Linked DNA regions of Solanum lycopersicum. The protein of the gene in region 2 interacts with the protein of the main gene of each other region in a biochemical or structural test. Links are inferred from orthologs where the notes say so. Each region holds a gene or a part of one and is shown on either strand. Other genes may lie near its edges. The genes, in order: methyl-CpG-binding domain-containing protein 7 and increased DNA methylation 2.

Region 1 (9,804 bases), on a different chromosome or scaffold from region 2:
GTACTGAAATAAAGTGTATTAGTTATGCTGGAATTATTTCTTATCCATTGTTTGATTTGGTGTATTAAGGTCATTTTTGTCTTTAACCATGCTTAACCATGTATTAATACACCTTGTATAACTAATACTATGATTTTCCATGTATTAGTTATACACTCTGTAATACTGAATAGGGTGTGTATTAGTTATACAAAGACTGGAAACCTACAAAGATTAATAACGTCATAACTAAGACATGTATTAGATTTTCTAATACATCCTACCTACCAAATGTGATCCCTTATAACCATCGGTCAATTCAGGAAAAATGAGGATTCCACATGAAGTAATATGATTTACTGAGCGAATTTGCTTAATTTTAACATGTAGCTGTTCGATGTACTCAACTTTGTGATTCTTACTTTTTAAATTATTTTTTCAGGTATATATTTGCATGAAAGTTGTATTAACAGAAAATACGATTACTTTACTTGTTTTAACTTGCTTGACAATTTGTAATCTCTAGTATCTTTTCTTGGATGCTCCCCTGTAACAACCCCCCCCCCCCCCCCCCTCCATCTCCGAATTAGTAGCAAAGTCCATTGGCTGCTCGTTACACTGAGTCATAAATTGCTTTAAGTACAAATTTTGGCGGAGTGAAATTGACATTCTATCCAAGTATTGTGACTCTCATTTCATGATTGTGATTGATTGCAAGTGAATTGGATGGTCTTGCAGGTTGAAATTTGATTACTGTAGTTGATAAATTTATCTTTTTTCTGCAGGAAATGTTTCTCCGTCAAAGGGTTTGGATGAGTTCCAATCTGTTTTCAAGATGTCTAGAAGAACTTTTGACTACATATGTTCCCTTGCAGAGGAACACATGCAGGCAAAATCAGCCCACTATGTGTTTTCAAGTGGCAAGCCCATGTCTTTGCATGAGCAAGTAGCGTTAGCTATGAGGAGGCTGAGCTCAGGTAATTCTCTAATTTCAGTGGGCGACTCGTTTGGTGCACACCACTCGACAGTATCTCAAGTAACTTGGCGCTTTATAGAGGCTATTGAGGAAAAGGGGCTTCACCACATACGGTGGCCTTCAACAGAAGAGGATATGACAGCAATAAAGTCCAAGTTTGAAAGAATTCAAGGACTTCCAAACTGTTGTGGTGCAATTGATGCTACACACATCACAATGATGTTATCTTCCTCTGAGCAGACAGCTGACGTATGGCTCGATCAAAATAAGAACCACAGCATGGTCCTGCAAGCAGTTGTTGACCCTGATATGAGGTTCCGTGATGTTGTCACAGGATTGCCAGGAAAGCTGAACGAGAATTCAGTGCTTCAGAGCTCAACATTATTTAAACTCTGCGAGAAAGGAGAGAGGTTGAATGGAAACAAGATGAAGCTGTCTGAAGAAACAGAACTACGGGAATATATCGTTGGTGATTCTGGTTATGCCTTGCTACCTTGGCTTTTAACTCCTTATCAAGACAAAGAACTTTCAGAATCTAAAGCTGACTTCAATAAAAGGCATTTAGCAACTCGTATAGTGGCACAGAGGGCCTTAGCTAGGCTGAAAGATGTCTGGAAAATGATTCATGGAATGATGTGGAGACCTGACAAGCACAAGCTACCAAGGTTTATCCTTGTATGCTGCATTCTTCACAACATTGTTATTGACATGGAAGATGATGTCTTGGATGAGTTGCCTCTATCATCTCATCTTCATGACCCGGGATACCGGCAAGAGGTCTGTAAATCTGTCGACAAGACTGCTTCAGTTTTGAGGGACAATCTGTCCCTCCACTTATCTGGAAGATGACATTCTTAAATGATGTGAATGCTTCTTGGTGAGTGAATAGCATAAGCTATCTATTTGATGACAGATAGAGAGTATTTTCAAAGATTTGTAGGCATTTGATTTCTATGTTTTGTATTATAAGTTTGATTAGAGTAGACTTTGAGATATAACATGGAAATAAGACATCATGGGTGGACAGTTTCCTTATTTAAGCATAGAGTCTTTTGTTATCCAAATTCTTGGTAACTTTCAATATTTAGCATTTTGTTTAACTTGTGCTATGAATGGTGCCAAGGGTTGCCCAAATTCTTGGTAACTTTCACAGTTAGCAACTTTGAGTTGTTCCTACCGTTGGCTTAACTCTAAATCGGAGTGTTTTATCACATTAGAGCAGACGTGAATCGAGTCCAGAAAGCACCTCTTTAGGAAGCTCGATTTGTAGTACCGAAGAGAGTTTTAACAGGTGTGCTGGCGTTGTAAGAGTGCGAAACTCTTTTCTTGAGCAAGTTTTTATCAGGATATATACTAAATGCTGCTATACTGCCTTTAACTGACAAACTTTAATTGTACATCCGTACTTGAACATGTACCATAAGAAAAAAGTTGTCGAATTGTTATACAACACATGAACAAACACAGAATAAACAGGACAACAGATTCTCTACAGTGGTTAAACAGCAAAGTGATTAAGGAGTTGCATAATGTTAGTATGTACAAGATTCAGCATCCAATTCTCATAGGTCAGAAGCAGTCCGAGCTTTCTTGAAGCGTAAACAACTGCATTCTCTCCGTTTAGTGCCTGCAAGGAGGATAAGAAAACAAATGCAGAGAGCTGTGTTCAGGTGCGCTTCCACATGTTTGTTGGGAAACGTTACCTCCAGAGGAAATATACATATATAGTATATGAAAGGGAGTATAGAAGAGTTGAAGCTTTAGTGCTTTCACTTACCTTTCTAGTCTGACTTTTCTGCATTCAGGTTCTCGTCATTCATGAACAACTTGAATCTTTTAGTCCATTGTTGTTTTAGTGAATCAGGAATAGGTGTTCCAGAAATCACAGGATTCCAAGCATCCCCTTTAGGACTAGAAAGAACCCAATTTACTTTTGCTGGTGGAGAAAGAAACGATGAATTGTCCGAATTCTCTGTAACGATGTTCCTCTTACATGGAAGAGATTTCTACAAAGGCAAATAAGCAGACATATTCTTGACATCAAAAGAAAATAAATGTCATGCTTATATTGCCCTTCATGATATTAGCTCACCTTTGCATGATGGTACAACTTAAACATCTTGGACAGTGGTTTATTCTCTTTCAATTCTTCTAGAGTAGCGGACAAAGGAACATTTTCTCTCATTTGAGCCAAGTATCTTTGTGCCGCTATCCTGGATCTAAATTTTTGTCCACTACCTGGTTCATAGTAATACTGCACACGAGGACCAAAAAAAAAAGTTTACAATTTCATCAGAGAGGCACTTTCCATAACAAGGAAAAGGAGAAACGGAGTAGTCGTTGAAATAATATCCCAAACGAACAAGAACAGCATGTTAATAGATGAAACACAGAACAACAACATACCCTGTGTAGTCTCACAAAGTGGGGTTCGGAGAGGGTGGAGTGTATCAGACCTTACCCCTACCTCATATGTGGTCCTTCCACACGGTGTGGAGAAGGTCTTAGCACATCCGTCAGGGTTTTAAGGATGGAACTATGATGTTGTGCCCACATGTGATGGATTATACAGTCCTATAAACTAAAATAATTCACTTAGATTTCTAGCAAGGTTGTAAAATCTAATCTAGTTCTCCACAGTGGCTTACGCAGAATATTTCGTAAACAGTGTGAACATTTAAAAAGTGAACACATAAATTAGTTACTATATTGACATGCGGTGTCATTTTTCTAATTTACACCCGATATTTTCATTTTGCTTGTTTTCAATACATACATATTTAGTAAAATAACATTTTGACAAAGTGGCATCAATTGACAACACTAGGGTCAGGGTGCACCCCACGACTGGTCCGCCAATGTCGATTATATGAGATCAGCAAGGTAATTACTAATGCACCTAATGCCTGTCACAGATAGTAATTCTCCTGATAATTGCGTAAAAAGCAAGAGCATGCTCAAATAGCACTCTCTCAAACGTGCAAAATGAAGCACATATCAATGAATCTCAATCACGAGACATGTTCTACAATGTTTAGGAAAAGCTTATGAGAAGAGTTCAAAGTTTTAGGATAATTCTACTCCAACCCTGCCTCACCATCCGCTATCCACCCTTAGAGGAATGCTCTCTTACCTAAGAAAACTATACTTCACAAACTGCCAGAGATGTTACTTCCGATCTAAAAATTACCCCGATTTATTAGACACATCTGATTGGGCCAATTTGAGCAAACATTACAGCAGCTGATATCAAGAGGTAGATAGATGAAACAAATTCACTACTGAAGGACATGAGATCGTACCTTATCCACCATGCTGCTTCCGTCTGTACGTGGTACCTCTTCTATCACCCAACCATCAGGAAGGTCATAGGGTAAGGTGGCTGCTCTTGTTGACGGCACAATTGCCCATTCATTCAACTGCTCTTCATCCATTCTAACGATCTGAAATTTAATCCAATGACAACTATCAAGTTTCCTATTTGATTCAGAATACATCTTTCACCTTGCCTAAAGGCACCATCATGTGATGATTAAAGTTTTTAAAATCATAACAAAACGACGATAACAGTGAGAAATTGGTATTCTGCACAGACTTCAAAGTTCCCAAGGCCTTCACTACACTAAAAGCTTGAGATTGCTGTTGCAATTACTAGGAGAAGATTCAGAATCTTACTAACCAACATTAGACCGAAAATTTGGACTATATTTTTTCAGAGTTACTTTTTAGTAGGTTAAATGACTAGAAGTTCCCCACACGAATTAGCATAATTCGTTTTCTTCTGAAAAAACAAGTATATTGTTTTTTGACAATTTTCAATTACAAGAACAATAGGGAGAAGAAGAGCAACAATATGACCCTCTTCTTCCAGCTGCCCTTGTCCCGACCCCAAGATAAAAAAACACAAGAAAAAAAAATGTAAATAAAGTTTAACGAAAATATATTACTTAAATAATGATTCAACACATACCATCCACAAGAAGTAGTTATGTAAAAGATCTCAGAGCCAAAGTGCAGTACCTTCCCATCGCAGATGACCATCTTCCGAGACAGAGAACTCTGTGAAAGACGAATACTCCGTGTATGACCAGAACAGATAAATACACCAAGTAAAAAAAAAAAGAGGAATTTCATACTCAGGCATCATCAAACTAGCGATATTACTAAATCTTTGTGAAATATTCAATTCTTTAACTTGCCTTAGGATAGTTTCTCACTCCCGATGCCCTGTTTCTAGGAGCAAATATTTCACCGTTCAATCGTCGCTCGACATCTCTCAATGATCTGAACTTTTGTCCAGTCCCAGGCTCATAGTAGTACTGCATGAAAATATAATGTATGTGCTAACGAGTATGATGCTTTAAAACATAATTGGCATTTATATAATTAATAATTAATCCGACACATGGATAGGAAAAAAATTTAGCTCCATCACATCGAACTGAATGAAGGTGGCCAACCATGTATAGGTCACTCAAAAGGTTACAAATTTCCAATCCAAAAATCAGCTTTAATCTTTTGAGGTGTTGATATCTACACATTGTGTAAACACAGATGCTCAGCGTTAGGTTTCCACCAATGACATTAGGTTAGAAATCTGGAATTGAATGCCATATCTGTAATTATAGTAGCAAGGACTCATCATTGATCCTCTGCTGTCTATGTTTATTTGCACCAGAAATGATCTAAAACAGTGATAGACTTGTAAAATTGAAGGTCAAAATCGACGCGTCAAAGTAGAGATACATTGATCACGCACGCACGCACGGCATAACCTGAGAGAAAAAGTCCTAAAGATGTCATATTCATTCATATCTCTCTCTTACATGTCAGCTATACTACCATGTAAGTTTCGTTCCCCAGGGACATTTGTCCACTATTATATTCCAATTCCATGACAACAGATTTTGCTTTCTCTAAAATTAAGTGAGTTGAGCTCTTTCGGCTCCTATACATACATGCTTCTGTAATCCTTCCTCCTATGCATTCGCTAGAGTCACTAAAATGCAAAGCATTCTAAACCCTAACATATCTCAAGCAACACTAAACCTTTAAAATAACGTTAGTTTCAAATGATTGAAAGTGAACATCTACTCAAATTTAGCTCCACTTTGGAATAAATGATTCACAATCTGATTAAAACAGAATATGAATTTACTACTTAACCTTTTCACCAACTAAGAAAATAATAACTAGTGAGAAATGAATAGCGAATTAAGTTGAAAGTAGAAAAGTGTACTCTGTCAACTCGATCGCCACTCGAGCGAAGCACTTGTTCAATACCCCAACCAGGGGGTAACTTAAACCTTGAGGACAAAGGTCTGTACGGAGTAATCGCCGAGGAAGACGCCGTTAGTTGACCGGAAGTTGGGTACTCTGCGCCGCTTCGGTGGCGGCGTAAGGAATTCTGTTTCTCCATGTATGCCTCTTCTAAACATGACACCACTTATTACTTGTATATATATATATTGCTAATTGTTTATTGTTTTCATGACACATTACTAGTCACATGCATTATTCTTTTTTTATGACAACTTCAAATATCTATGTATGTTAAAAAAAAAAAAATACTAATAATTAAGTGTATATATATTCCGTACACTAATTACGATTTATTGCAATATATAAAGGGGATGAACTAATGAATGAATTAACCAATGAAGTATTACAGCTTCTTCTTCTAATTAATCCTACAAGAATATATAATGGAGTAACTAAATAAAGATTCTCAGAACAGGAGATGCAATTGGCGATAACTTGAAATCAACAACATTATCATCACGAGGGGTTAAGTTTAAGTCCAAACAAAAAATCCTCTTGCTGCTATTGGACTTGGTCAACACTGGTATTATCGTTTTATTAATTTCATCGCGATGACGCCGCATGTGCCCTCCCAATGCTTGACCTAAAGAAAACTCCACACCACAAATAGAACATTTATGTATCTTATTATTCTTTTTGTTGGTTTCAACAAGAAACTCTCCCATTAATCGTGGCTTTTTATTATGACTTGCACGGTGACCGCCTAAGGCTTGGAAAGATGGGAAGCGTTTATTGCAAGTCTTGCATTCAAAATCATTAATATGATGATGATGATCTGATGATGACGATGAACAAGTGTTGTTGTTGAAACGAGACAAAAGCATTAAGGCGCAGTGAGCCATGGCCTCTGCTTCAATTTGCATATTCTCTTCTCTGCTTCTTTTCATATTATCAAGAAAGACGACACAAATTAAAGTTGTTTTTGAAATTTGAAGTGAAGAATAGGATACACATTTGGTTTCTCTTTGCTTCAAATTTATACCAAGAGATAAGACAAGCTTGGCGTGTTTTTTAAAAAACGTGCATCACATTATTCTTTATAAAATGTTTGACTTTAGGTTAAGTGAGTCAAAGAAATACTAGAGATCGATACTTTTATCTGTTTAACTATACTGTTTGATTTTAGACAAAAAATAATTATTTTTTCTATTTATTTTTATTTATCATGTGGCGTCTTTTAAAAGTTAATTTGACTAATTTTTAAAGTTAAATTAAATTATATCAATTTGATATTTTAAACAAAAAGTTTAAATATCAATATCTTAAAAAAATATATCATAAAATGTTAATTAAAATTTTTATCGTTTGACTTTAAAAAAGAATCATGACAAATAAAAATAGATATCACCCTTATTAAATATAAATTGCTCGTTAATCTTATAAAAAATTATTAAAATATTTCAACGGAATAGTAGTTTACTAGTGAAAAAGGAATCAAATGATTTTAAGTGAGGGGTAGGTAGGGTACTCTATGTGGTAACGCGTTAAAAGGAATATTTCAGGTCATTTCATGTGAGCGGAAAATTAATGTATTGTTGCCTTCTTTGAGCTTTCTACAACACTTCCAAGTAGGAGCGGACGCTCTACCACAATCATAAAGTTATCTTTAAAATATTTGTTGATCTTTTCACACACCTCGATGTAAATAATTTAAAAGGTTGGTAAGATAATAATATCAACTCCAAATGTGATTGGTGAGGTCCGATATTAAAAATTATTCAAAAGTTGGTAAGAATAATAATATCAACAATAAATTTGGTTGATGAGAACAGTGATTATATCCAACATAAATGTTTTAAAGGTTGATTAGAGTAATAATTAATATCAATTATAAATTATGTTTTCTTATAAAATAAATGAATAATAAATATAAAATTATGAATTTTCTTTTACAAATATATTTTATAATATGAACTCAAATACAAATAATTTAAATTTTGAATATAAAATATGACATCTAATTTAAAAAGACTATTAAGATTGACATTATGAGGGGCTGCTGAAAACACATGGCGTAGCGATTTGTAAAGGACAAATTGTGCCATTTGAACTAAGTACTTTCTTGGTGATGAAAGCAGTGACTTGGAACACACAAGTTGAGACCTAAAGACCAACCAACATGGTTTAGTGCTAATTCCTTAATTAGCACTAATTAACTAGCAGCAACAGTGTAATAGTACTTATTTTTAGGTTGGTGATGGTGACGAATGCAATGATATTTGATATAGTGTATTTAATTATATTTTAAAAATATATTGTTTAAGTTTTTACAACATAAAAAAAAAAAAAAGACAATTTGATATCATCTCATTTGCCATCCTCCTATTACTTTCCATTTAGAGCTCGTTTGGATAGATTTTTAAAAAAGAATCGAAAAATAAAAAGTCACCATTTTTGCTATCAAGGCCAACTAGTTCATATGTAAGGTTTTAATGGACGTGCATGAAAATTTTCAGCAAAAAAGACGTTGAAATTCTGGATGATAAAAAATACATGGACTATAACACACGAAAATCAACAAAAAGGGAGATTTACCTGCTTTGAGGCTCGTTTGACCTTAAAAATAGATCGTTTTGGCAATCTGAACCAACTAGGTTTACAGCTAAGGTATTAATAGACATCCATGAAATTTTTTTGAAAAATAATGACGTCGGAATTCTAAATCACCGAAAATCCATTGACTATAGCACACATAAAATCGGTAAAAATAGAAGGTTTATATGCTCTGGGGCTTGTTTTACCTTGAAAATAGGTCGTTTTGGCCTTCAGGGCCAACTGGCTCCATAGCTAAGGTCTTAACAATTGTCCATGAAAAAATTTGAAAAAATGACGTCGAAATTTCGGATCACCAAAAAAGATGGTGAACTATAGCACACGAAAATCGGTAAAATGAGAGGGGAGGTTTACCCACTCCGGAGCTCGTTTGAACTTAAAAATGGACCGTTTTCATTGTTAGGGCCGACTAGATCTATAACTAAGGTCTTAATGGACGTCCATGAAAGCAAAAATGACGTCAAAATTTCGGATCACAAATAAAGATGGTGGACTATCGCACACGAAAATTGGCAAAATGAGGGGCTAAACTGTTCTAGGCTCGTTTGATCTTGAAAATGGATCGTTTTGGCCGTGGTGACCAACCGAGTCCTTTAATAAGATCTTAATAGACATCTGTATAAATTCTTGGCAAAAATGATCTCGGGATTCCGGATGACCAAAAAAGTTGGTGGACTATAGCACACCAAAATCGACAAAGTGGGGGGCTTACATGGGGCTCGTTTGAACTTGAAAATGGATCGTTTTGACCGTGGTACCAACCGACTCAATAGGTAGGGTCTTAAGAATCGTCTATGTAAATTTTTGGCAAAAATGATTGCGAAATTCTGGATAACCAAAAAAGATGGTGGACTATAGCACACGAAAATTGGCAAATAAAGGGTTTACCCGCTTTAGGGCTTGTTTGACATTGAAAATGTGCTAATTTGGCCGTGGTGACCAACCGACACCATAGATAAGGTCTTAACGGACGT
Region 2 (9,781 bases):
TGACATAATCACATAAACAATCCACCCTATTATGTTGATTTATATTACTTCAAAAACTGTGGTGTATGCTGCCCTCTAGAATTTTGAAGCACATCTGATACACAGTGCGGATGATTGCTGAAAACTGGCCCCACATTCTGTGCCATAAGTTATATCTTCTCCTTGAAGAATTCTCTTTGGGAATTAAGAATGCTGAATGTCAGTTGTGTTGACCATAATGGTCTTGACAAATGATGGTGCAAAGCTAACTGGCTAGGTGCTTCTAGCACCCTCAAAAGTAAACCATCTGAGATGGCAGCTTTTCAAGGTTCAGAATGATTTGGTGGGGGAACTCTGCAATGACTATAGCAGGTGGTCACAAATTTTGGAACTGGGGAAATTATCTAAATAATATTTGAGTGTTAGTGTTGAATTATGCAACAAAACAGCTTTGGCTTCAGTTCTTTACTTCTGTATTAATTTTTCAATCTTGGAGTGTACCAAGCCAGGATGTAACTGGCGATTAAGTAAGATAACTAAATAGAACCATGATGGATAGGGTTAAGGCAGCACTATTCGTCGTTGACTAGAAATAATCATCTAGCATTATGGTTAGTCTTATCCTGCATCTAATGATGACAAGTATAGATGATTTTCCTTCCTTGTGTGTTCCTCAGGCATCCATTATTCATGCAGACAAGCAAACTTTTACTCCCTCCATTCCCTGTTACTTGTCCATTTTGCATTTTGCATTTCCTTTAAGAAATCATTAATTAAGTGTTTATCTAACTAAATTATCCTTATAAATGTTACTTTGAAAATTTAAATGTCTATTAATACTTCAATTAGTTTGGGAAACGGTTACTTATTGATGAAAAAATGGAAAAAGATACTAATTGATTCTCTCTTGCTTATGCCTAAAAGAACTAGTAAAAAGGAAAATTTATTTTTAGTATATTGGACAAGTAAAAGAGAACAGAGGGAGTCCTAGATACTTGGACGGTAAGTTGGAGGATATTGGGGTCTAATTTTTCCCTTTTTAGTAATTTCAGAATATATGGAAAGTGATTTTTCTTGTTCTTGCAAACAACAACATATGCTGTGAAGAGTTAGACATCTAGTGCTTAAATATCCTTTTAGTATAAAACTCAAGACTCTGTAACACAGTAACAGATAACACCAAATAACAAAAATGCTCCCAAGCACTTTATCCTAGGTGGCTTCTAAAGATCCCTTCTTTGATTTCTAGAGCCCCTTCTCTGGTGGTTCTCTGCCATTGGAATCTCTTCCTTTTCTTGCCTTTTCTTTCAGGTAGCATTTACTTGGAACATGGAGTGGTTATATTTCAGACAGAATCTTATGATCTTACAGACCAGTATCTGCTTCAGAGGTATGGTTTCGAGTTGGTGGAGAGTACAGTGATGTCTATCGGACATATGATATTGAGAAGGGGAGCTTTACTTTGGTTATGCAAAAGATTAGAAGGAAGCTTCTGAAAGCAGGGGGAGGGGGGGGGGACTTCAAATCTGAGAGATGCAGAGACATTTCGACATATGTTTATTGCTCCCTGAAGTTCAATAAGTACCATCGATTTATTTCTGTTATCAAACTGAAGGGAGTAGATCAGTAATTATTATTCCAGAAAATGCATTTAACAAGGAACGGCAAGATCTAGTAATAAAAGTGGAAAACTTCATTGAGAGAAAATTAGAGAAGCAAGGAGAATTTATTACAAAAAGGAAATTAAATCTCAATACAATCATTGAGAAGGGGGATTATGAGGCAGCTCTTCGTAACAATAATGTAGCCTGAGCACACCTTACATGGTGCAGTCCCTGACGTGACACTGGCATAATGGATGTCAAAATGTGGAATGAACTTCATCTCCATGCTTTTCAAGTGCAAGGAAGGAAATGAATAGGGGGCAAGCAACTGACAAACAGAAGAGCATGCCTAAGAAGTTGGATTGCACTCCTTCTGGAAGTTATTTTTATATCAAGCCATAAGAATTATGATGACCATAGCATTTCTCATGGCTCTAAACTCTAAAAAAATCAATAATAAATGTAACATCTAAACATACCAAGTATCTTTTGATAAGTGAGTGTGTTTTATGTGGGAATATGTTCTCAGTGTGTTTTATGGAAGCTAGTTGCTTCTTTCTGCAATCCATGTTGTTGACTAGATCACTCGTGAAGAATCCATCAGGCGCACACTAAATCCATGCTTCTATTTTATGGATTTTGATGGTGTTCACAGCATCTCAGTTTAATGTGTAGCTATTTTAATATTTTCATTTTGACATTTTAATATTTCTTTTTTGACAGGTCTCTCTAATCTGGAAACTTCCTGTCTCGATGCTCCTTAGGCTCACCATACCACAGACTGCACCTTCTGAATGGAATAGATTCTGTTTATCTTCCAACATTGCTCTCTGCCCCCTCCTCCTTCTGTTTTCCTGCAAATCTTTTGTGCCATTAAATCATCCAATCTCTTTCCTTCTCTCAGACACCCATTTGCCTCTTTGGTTCATTGTACTTTGTGCTACGTGTTCTTTGGCTGTTGTACATTTCATTGTTGAAAAGGAGGCCCCTAAAACTGAGCAAATGCCTGCAGTTGTTATAGCATTTGTTATGAGTGTATTTTGGATCTCCACAGTTGCTGGGGAACTTCTCAACTGTCTTGCCGTTCTTGGAGAGCTCCTGAAACTGCCTGCTGCCTTTCTTGGTTTAACGGTGCTTGCATGGGGAAACTCAGTAGGTGATCTTGTTGCAGACGTGGCTGTAGCAAAGGCTGGCCAACCGGCCATGGCCATGGCTGGATGTTTTGCTGGGCCAATGTTTAACATGCTTTTTGGGCTTGGAACTGCTTTGGTTATGCAGACAGCAAATGTATATCCAGAAGCTTATGAGCTTCATCTCCACGTGAGTATCGTGGTTGCTTTTGTTTTCTTGCTATTGAGCTTGATGGGATCTTTGCTTTTAGTTACTTGGAATAGGTTCCGGGTGCCAAGATTCTGGGGATTTTGCCTAGTAGGACTCTATGTTGTATTCATGATAATAAGCCTGATCATTGCCACGTTCTCTGCCTGAGTTTTGGAGAGACAATTGATTCATCCATCACTGGTCTGGAACCATGCGGGGGCTGCTAAACTCTTGAAGATGAAGTAGGTGGCAAGTGCGCCTTTGCCACAATATCTAGGAAATGGTTATGTTGATAGCCTTCATTCACTTATCAGTTAAAGATCTTATTGGCTTCCATTCAAGAACATAATAATTCATTTTTTTTTTCAGTTCATTGTGGAGTGAGTAAAGTGAGCTGGAAAGCATAATCCACTGGTTGTATAGTAAATTTCTGGTCAACTAGAAGCTTCATGTAAGCCAGTACATTTTTTCTTGTGAAATTCAACAGAATTATAGAGAAAAATGCTTAACTTCGTATTTATGCAGAACTACTCGAATCATACTATCATTTTTTTTAAAAATAGAGTACTGCTTAGCTCTCTGGATAAAGGTTATTATTGTTGATTTTGTGTTACGTGATCAATTGTCATAATTAAGTAATGTAGATTTTACACCCAGATTGATCTTTAAATGTGGGTCAGCCTGTTTAAGCTTTTTACACCTTACCTTACTTGTAATTGAACAGGTAAGTTGGTTGCATTCACACCAAATTACTATTATCATAGACATAAGCTAGGTTGCAATTTGTAGAGGTACTACCTCCTAATTAACAAGACACTAATTTACCCTATTCTATTGAGAATATGTTTCTGCTTTCAATACGATTCCCTCGAGAATTCCATCAGTGCCAAAAATACCAGAAAATGCTTGAGGGTCAACTGGGCCTGGCAGCTTGAAAGAGATGGTGAAATTTCCTGTTGGACATAGGTTCTGAGTTTGCATCTCGAATACTTGAGAGTACTTGTGGACTGTCCTATCACCAGTTGTCATTCCCTTAATCAATACTTTACCATCAATCTCCACTTCACAAGTAAATTCTCCTGAGTTAACCATAGATTTTGAACAAATTAGTCCTGGTCGAATCCAAAATCATCAGAAGAATGCAGTGCGCCATATTGTAAAAGGATTTGGCAGATCAAATATGTCAACTGGGACTAATTGCAAATTCAGATGTGAAAAATATTTTAGATCATGATTGTAACTTACTTTCATCTCTCTGTACTCCAGGGAGTGATACACGGAACAAGTAAGCATCCTCACTTTCTCCTACATCCAAGAGCCCGAGAACTGGTCCTATCTTACCCTTCGCTGCACTCCCAGCCACTGCAAATCCACTTTTAGTAGCACCAACAATGTTACTTAGCTCCTCCATAGAAGGGCAAGAAGGAAGGAAGACAATGCTAAGCTCTGAGTCGTCAGAGTTGGTGTGCTTTGATGATGGACCCATAGACTCTTCCGCCAGTGGACTGACATCCTTAAAGAGGCTACTAAAAGGAGTATCATCAGATTTTTTAGAGCTATCTGGTGGCGCATCAGTAAACTGGCTGACAGCATCATTCCTCAAGAGACTTCTACAAAGTGTAGTGTCAAATTGTCGATTGCGATGAGGTGGCATATTACTACATGAGCCATCATTCAAGAGACCACTAAAAGGTCTAGTGTCAGATTGTCCATTGCTATCAGGTGGCACACCATTAAATGGTTCATCAGAAGCATCCTTCAAAAGACTAGTAAAAGACATATAGTCAAATTGTTCATTGTCAAGTCGTAAATCCTTAAATGGCTCAGTACTTGAAGGTATCTCCTTATATGGTAGGCTACTAGCAGCTAATGATGCATATTGGAGGATATCACCAGGATTGGATATCTCCTTGTTTCGAATATTAGTTAGAGCTTCGTAATCAACATCGGCTTGTGATTTTGTGCAATCTTTGTCCATGACCAGATGTTCTAGACCAGTGAGCTTCTTGAACCTCTTAACACTATCTGGTTCGATATAACTGGTATCAGGGTCATGGATGAACACAATGTTTGCAATAACATTATACACATGACAGCATAAATGGGGATGCAGGTTGGGAGGAAACAGATCACAGAACCGAGGATAAGCTGCTGGTTGTTTACGGTAAAGAGTAGGAAGCTTCCCATGAAAGTACTGGTGCAGCCACGGTTGTGCCAGGACAACAGACCGATCTGCCTTTCTCAATGCATGATAGTAAACCCTTTCTACTTCTATGGTTCTTAGGCATGAACCAGCTAATTGATTGGAACTGTATGGAGGTAAGCCTAGACCCTTTCTTTGCAAAACTGACCTTTTGGGATATTCTACGGGGATATCTGGTCCAAAGAAGGTTCCAATGATGAAGTAAAGGAGGAAAAACTGATCATCCGTTGGAACCAATCCAGTGAAGTTGTTGTCCATGCTCGATGGAAAGAGTAAGAACTCTGTGATTAATCTGTTTCAGATGAAATGAAACAGATAAAAATATTGACTCTAGACTTGAGTAAAAAACACGGTTGAAACATATACAATGAAGACAGTAAGTAGTGAAAAAAGAAGAAGAAGTAAACACTAAGATTGATGATATGTGATTATAGCTTGAAGCGAGTTCAAAAGATCAATTATATGGAGTTTTTACCATCTATTACCGTATATGGATTTCGCAAACGGAAGGTTGAAATCAAGAATGATTTTGATGGTTAGAACGACAAAGACACACAAAAGGATTAGTAATTGAGATTCTGTAAGTCATCCATGAGGATATTTTTGTACATAAAAAGGGGAGCCTTTTAAGTAAATGCAACAGAGCATTTTCCAAAAATATAGTTTAGGCTGCCTATCTGTTTTGACATAGATAACTTAAAATTGCTTCACTAGACTGGATTTAAGCAGGTACAAACACAAATTAAGAGCAATTTCTACACTAGATCAACACATTGGCAAGTCACATCCACATGCAACAACTCATTGATGATTCTTACATGCAAGAACACTAAAAACATGATAGTACAAATCCAGAATCAGAGAAAAATTGACAAAAAGAAGACATCAAGTGAAGTGTAAAATTAGGAAATACAAAATGTAAAATACAACTCTATGTTTTTTTCCAAAGTGAGAAATCAATAAGTGAAGTGTAGAAAGCATACCACAATGAATTCTCCTTCTCCAGAGAGTAAGTTGAACTATTTGCTAGTGCCACAAAAGAAAGCAACGAGGTTTTTCAGAAATCAGTCATCCCAATCACTGCCACGCGTCCTTTACTTGGTTATGCAATATAATTGGTAAATAATATTATATAAGAATTGTTTTTTCTTATACGGTAAATAGCCTTTAGTTCAAGCGGTTTGATTTTATCAAATTTTGATTTGCTTTTAAAAAAAATGTGCATTGTAAATCAAATTAATTTACTTTAGTTTGATTTTTTTTACTTTAGTTTGATTTAATTTAGTATTTTTAAATCGATTTATGGTATTGACTGAAAAAATAAAATAAGAATAAAGTATAGAATACTTAGAAATTTAAAATTATAATAAGAAATGATATGTCGTGGAATACTTGTTGTATTAATTAAAACACTATATTTATCTTTATCAAGAACATGTTTTTCTTAAAAATTAATATTTAAAGTTAACTATTGAATGGTATATTTGTTGTTGCATTAATTTGTTCATCTCCACCTTTCCCCAATTGTTGTGATATAGTTGCCTTTATCATTAGAAATTAGAGCATAAATTATATATACATATTACAATCTTATTCACCAACTAAACATTTCTTAAATATCAAATCAAAAAATAAATATATACTTAATTTTAAATGATAAAAATATTGATATCTAAAAATATAACGGAAGAATTATTTGTCATTTCTCTCAATAAAATAAAGATACTCCAATATAAGATGATGAGTATTGACATGTTCTATCAAATAATAAATTGACAACTCAACACAAACCATTAAATTTCAGACCAAAAATAAAAAAGAGAGAAGGGTAAAAACAAGATTTGACTAAAGTCTGAACTCTTAAGCGTTAAAAGCCCCATTTTCCATATTCTGAGAAGACCAAAAATTGAAGAAAATCGGGAGCAAAGATGCATTCATTTGGGTATAGAGCTAATGCTTTGTTAACATTGGCAGTCACCATCCTTGCGTTTATGTGTGGAATAGCTTCTTTCTCCGACAATTTCAATACTCCGATTCCAACAACTGAAGTTCAAGTACACCTACCTCCTTAAAAACCCTACTTGAATCTATGTTTTCCTTTTGTTAACTTTGTCGATTGTAATTAGATCTGTTAATTTTGTAAATGACCCACGTGTTTGAACGCTTGATTTTCTGCAGGTGTTGAATATCAATTGGTTCCAGAAGAAACCTGATGGGGACGATGAGGTATTTTCTTTGACGAAAGATTTGTATCTGTCGATTTTGATAAAGGGTTTTTCTGGGTTTTTAGTTTCGGATTAATTTTTGTTGAATTCGGTATGTGAGATTGTAAATTGGGTTCAAAAACTGGTTGAACTATGATGGTTGACCTTTCTTCTTTTTTTTTTTCTAATAATTTCTATTTCAAATTCTTGAATATGGGTATTGCTGGATTCTTTGAGGAATCAGGAATCTATGTGATCTATGTACATTCTTGGTTAAATTTGTTTGCTTTCTCATTTGAGAATGGAAAAATCTTGAGATTTTCTGTTTTGAGGTAATATAACTATAACATTGTTCAATTTCAATAACCAAGTTTGATGCATATATGTACGGACATTCTTTGTACTATCAATTGTATACTCTCCATTATAATACCTTCTCTCTAAAAAAATTTTCAATTTCAATCTAGGAGATCCTCCTAGTTAGGCATGAGTATCAACCTAAATAATCATGAATTGTTAGTTAAGGTTTGAACTAATTTTCTCTAAACCCCCATGATATCACATTGTTCTTGAAAATACTAGTAAAAGTTATGAGTTATGACTTTCTTCACCACTCAAACTCACAGGGATCAAACAGAAGAGAATCAACGAATTCCTCGATGAAATCACAAGTAAATTGGACATAATTCATTAGATAAAGACGACCAAATAAAACAGTCCTACTGTACAGAAAAAGGAACTAAGTCGGCTAACTCCTTCGAGATCCTCTTCTTCTTTTGCATTGTTTGAGTGCCTTGAGGCATTCAACTAAATCTGCAGTTCCAGATTGTAAAGATAAAGCTATCATATGTAATACTATTAACTAATTCCCAATTTCTTAGAGTATCCATTGGTTTTTAGTCTATTTTAAATGTTAGAGTTGCCAGTAAGTTTCCAATATTAACTTCAATAATAGAGGGCTAACTAAGCTTACTAGAGGTGTGCATTGGTCGGGTCGGTTTGGTTTTATGTACTATCGGGTTTTAAATACGTTAAACCAACATCTAATATGTTGAACCACTTTTTTCGGTTCGGTTTAGAGCGAAAGGACCGCAGACAACTTTTGAGTAAAACTCTGGAGGAAAAACAATCTTCTATTAGTATTTTCATGAATCTATGTGATATATGTGCATAAAAAAATAATCGTATGTTTTTTTAGATCTCTTAATCATTGAAATATCATAAAAAAATATGCTAGCACATTATATTGCCTAAGGTGTCAGTTTATTTTCTTTATCTTGTTGATCTACATGAACTTGGTAGCTGCTCTTTTGTTAAGCATTCTTGTTACCATTGTTGGTTGAGTGGTTATATGAACTTAATGAAAGAAGTTTGTCTATATCATGTATACTTTTCCTTTTATGCAGGTCAGTTTGACCTTGAACATATCGGCAGATTTACAGTCATTGTTCACGTGGAATACGAAGCAGGTTTAGTGTCTATTTTATTTGCACCATAGTTTGGATTTCACTCTTTTAACCCTATTACTTGAGTCTGATTTTCTTCTATGTAAAGTATGAAAGTGTGGATGTATCAATCTGTATACATCTTATGCTCAATTAAGCTAATCTCTAAGACATAATATATGTATACTTTTCATCCCCGTTCTGAAACACTGGAGTTCACTAGAGTGAAGGGGAGAGGTGGTCATATTAGATGTTGATGCCACGGTTAAGACTCTGGATTACAGGATGTGGAAATTGGAAAATAGAATGCATTACACAAATTTACGAGGCTATTAGTGACTATATAAACCAGTGTTAGATAGTTAAATCTATGCCTTCTTGTACAATTTGTTGACGTTTTCCCAGTTAGTCCAATGACTTGGTGCAGTATTTCCTCTTTCACCTTTTCTTTTTAGTAAAAATTAAAATGAACTTAAATTATTCCTGTTGCAGTGCTTGTGAGAAAGCTGGTTCTATTTTGTTTCCTCCCTTTTTATTTTCCTTGAGAATTTGGAGGACGGGATTTAGAGTGTCTTTACAGCTTCAGTATACCATATATTGAAATTCTGCTACCTAACATGTGTAACAAGAGACTGGAATATTTCAAAAAGAACAAGACTACGTGCAATAAGTTTCCTAGATTTCTGAATTCAAAGTTTTTTAGTTTTAACTTCGAACACTTTAAGAGATATGTTGGCATTGATCGGTCAGATCTCTGTTGGTTGGATTACCTTTATAGTTACTTCTAGCAACTGTGCAATTCTAATAATGTTTAAAATTTTGCAGGTGTTCGTATTTTTGGCAGCTGAGTATGAAACTCCAAAGAACGCTTTGAATCAGGTCTATCTTCTATTGGTTGAGAACTGCATATAATTAATATCTTCCTTGTATTTCATTTGTTAGTTAGATCTTATTTGAGGCTCGTGTCTTTGTCTGATAAATGTATTGCAACTGAAAGTAAGGCTTAGCACAGTATGTATCAACATA

What was found.
Region 1: the proteins of increased DNA methylation 2 (region 2) and methyl-CpG-binding domain-containing protein 7 form a complex in vitro, tested with the Arabidopsis thaliana proteins (2 studies listed by BioGRID). The link is inferred for Solanum lycopersicum from reciprocal best matches to the Arabidopsis thaliana genes AT1G54840 and MBD7.

Annotation. Positions count from the first base shown.
Region 1 is NC_090810.1:61,669,333-61,679,136, reverse strand, and holds methyl-CpG-binding domain-containing protein 7, read right to left. Parts: upstream 6,489-9,804; 5' UTR 6,375-6,488; coding exon 6,195-6,374; intron 5,731-6,194; exon of another isoform or gene 5,281-5,730; coding exon of another isoform or gene 5,275-5,280; coding exon 5,155-5,274; intron 5,015-5,154; coding exon 4,976-5,014; intron 4,399-4,975; coding exon 4,258-4,398; intron 3,210-4,257; coding exon 3,048-3,209; intron 2,989-3,047; exon of another isoform or gene 2,962-2,988; coding exon 2,737-2,961; 3' UTR 2,733-2,736; intron 2,583-2,732; 3' UTR 2,305-2,582; downstream 1-2,304. Other genes in the region: protein ALP1-like, read left to right, coding at 765-1,804. UniProt on the Arabidopsis thaliana protein: Transcriptional regulator that binds CpG islands in promoters where the DNA is methylated at position 5 of cytosine within CpG dinucleotides.
Region 2 is NC_090800.1:85,089,013-85,098,793, reverse strand, and holds increased DNA methylation 2, read right to left. Parts: upstream 6,201-9,781; 5' UTR 6,090-6,200; intron 5,399-6,089; 5' UTR 5,365-5,398; coding exon 4,149-5,364; intron 4,016-4,148; coding exon 3,735-4,015; 3' UTR 3,494-3,734; downstream 1-3,493. Other genes in the region: cation/calcium exchanger 5, read left to right, coding at 2,307-3,071; signal peptidase complex subunit 3B, read left to right, coding at 7,035-7,160, 7,285-7,332, 8,717-8,779, 9,581-9,634. UniProt on the Arabidopsis thaliana protein: Prevents DNA hypermethylation and transcriptional silencing of transgenes and of some endogenous genes. May act as a molecular chaperone of IDM1, regulating its H3K18 acetylation activity.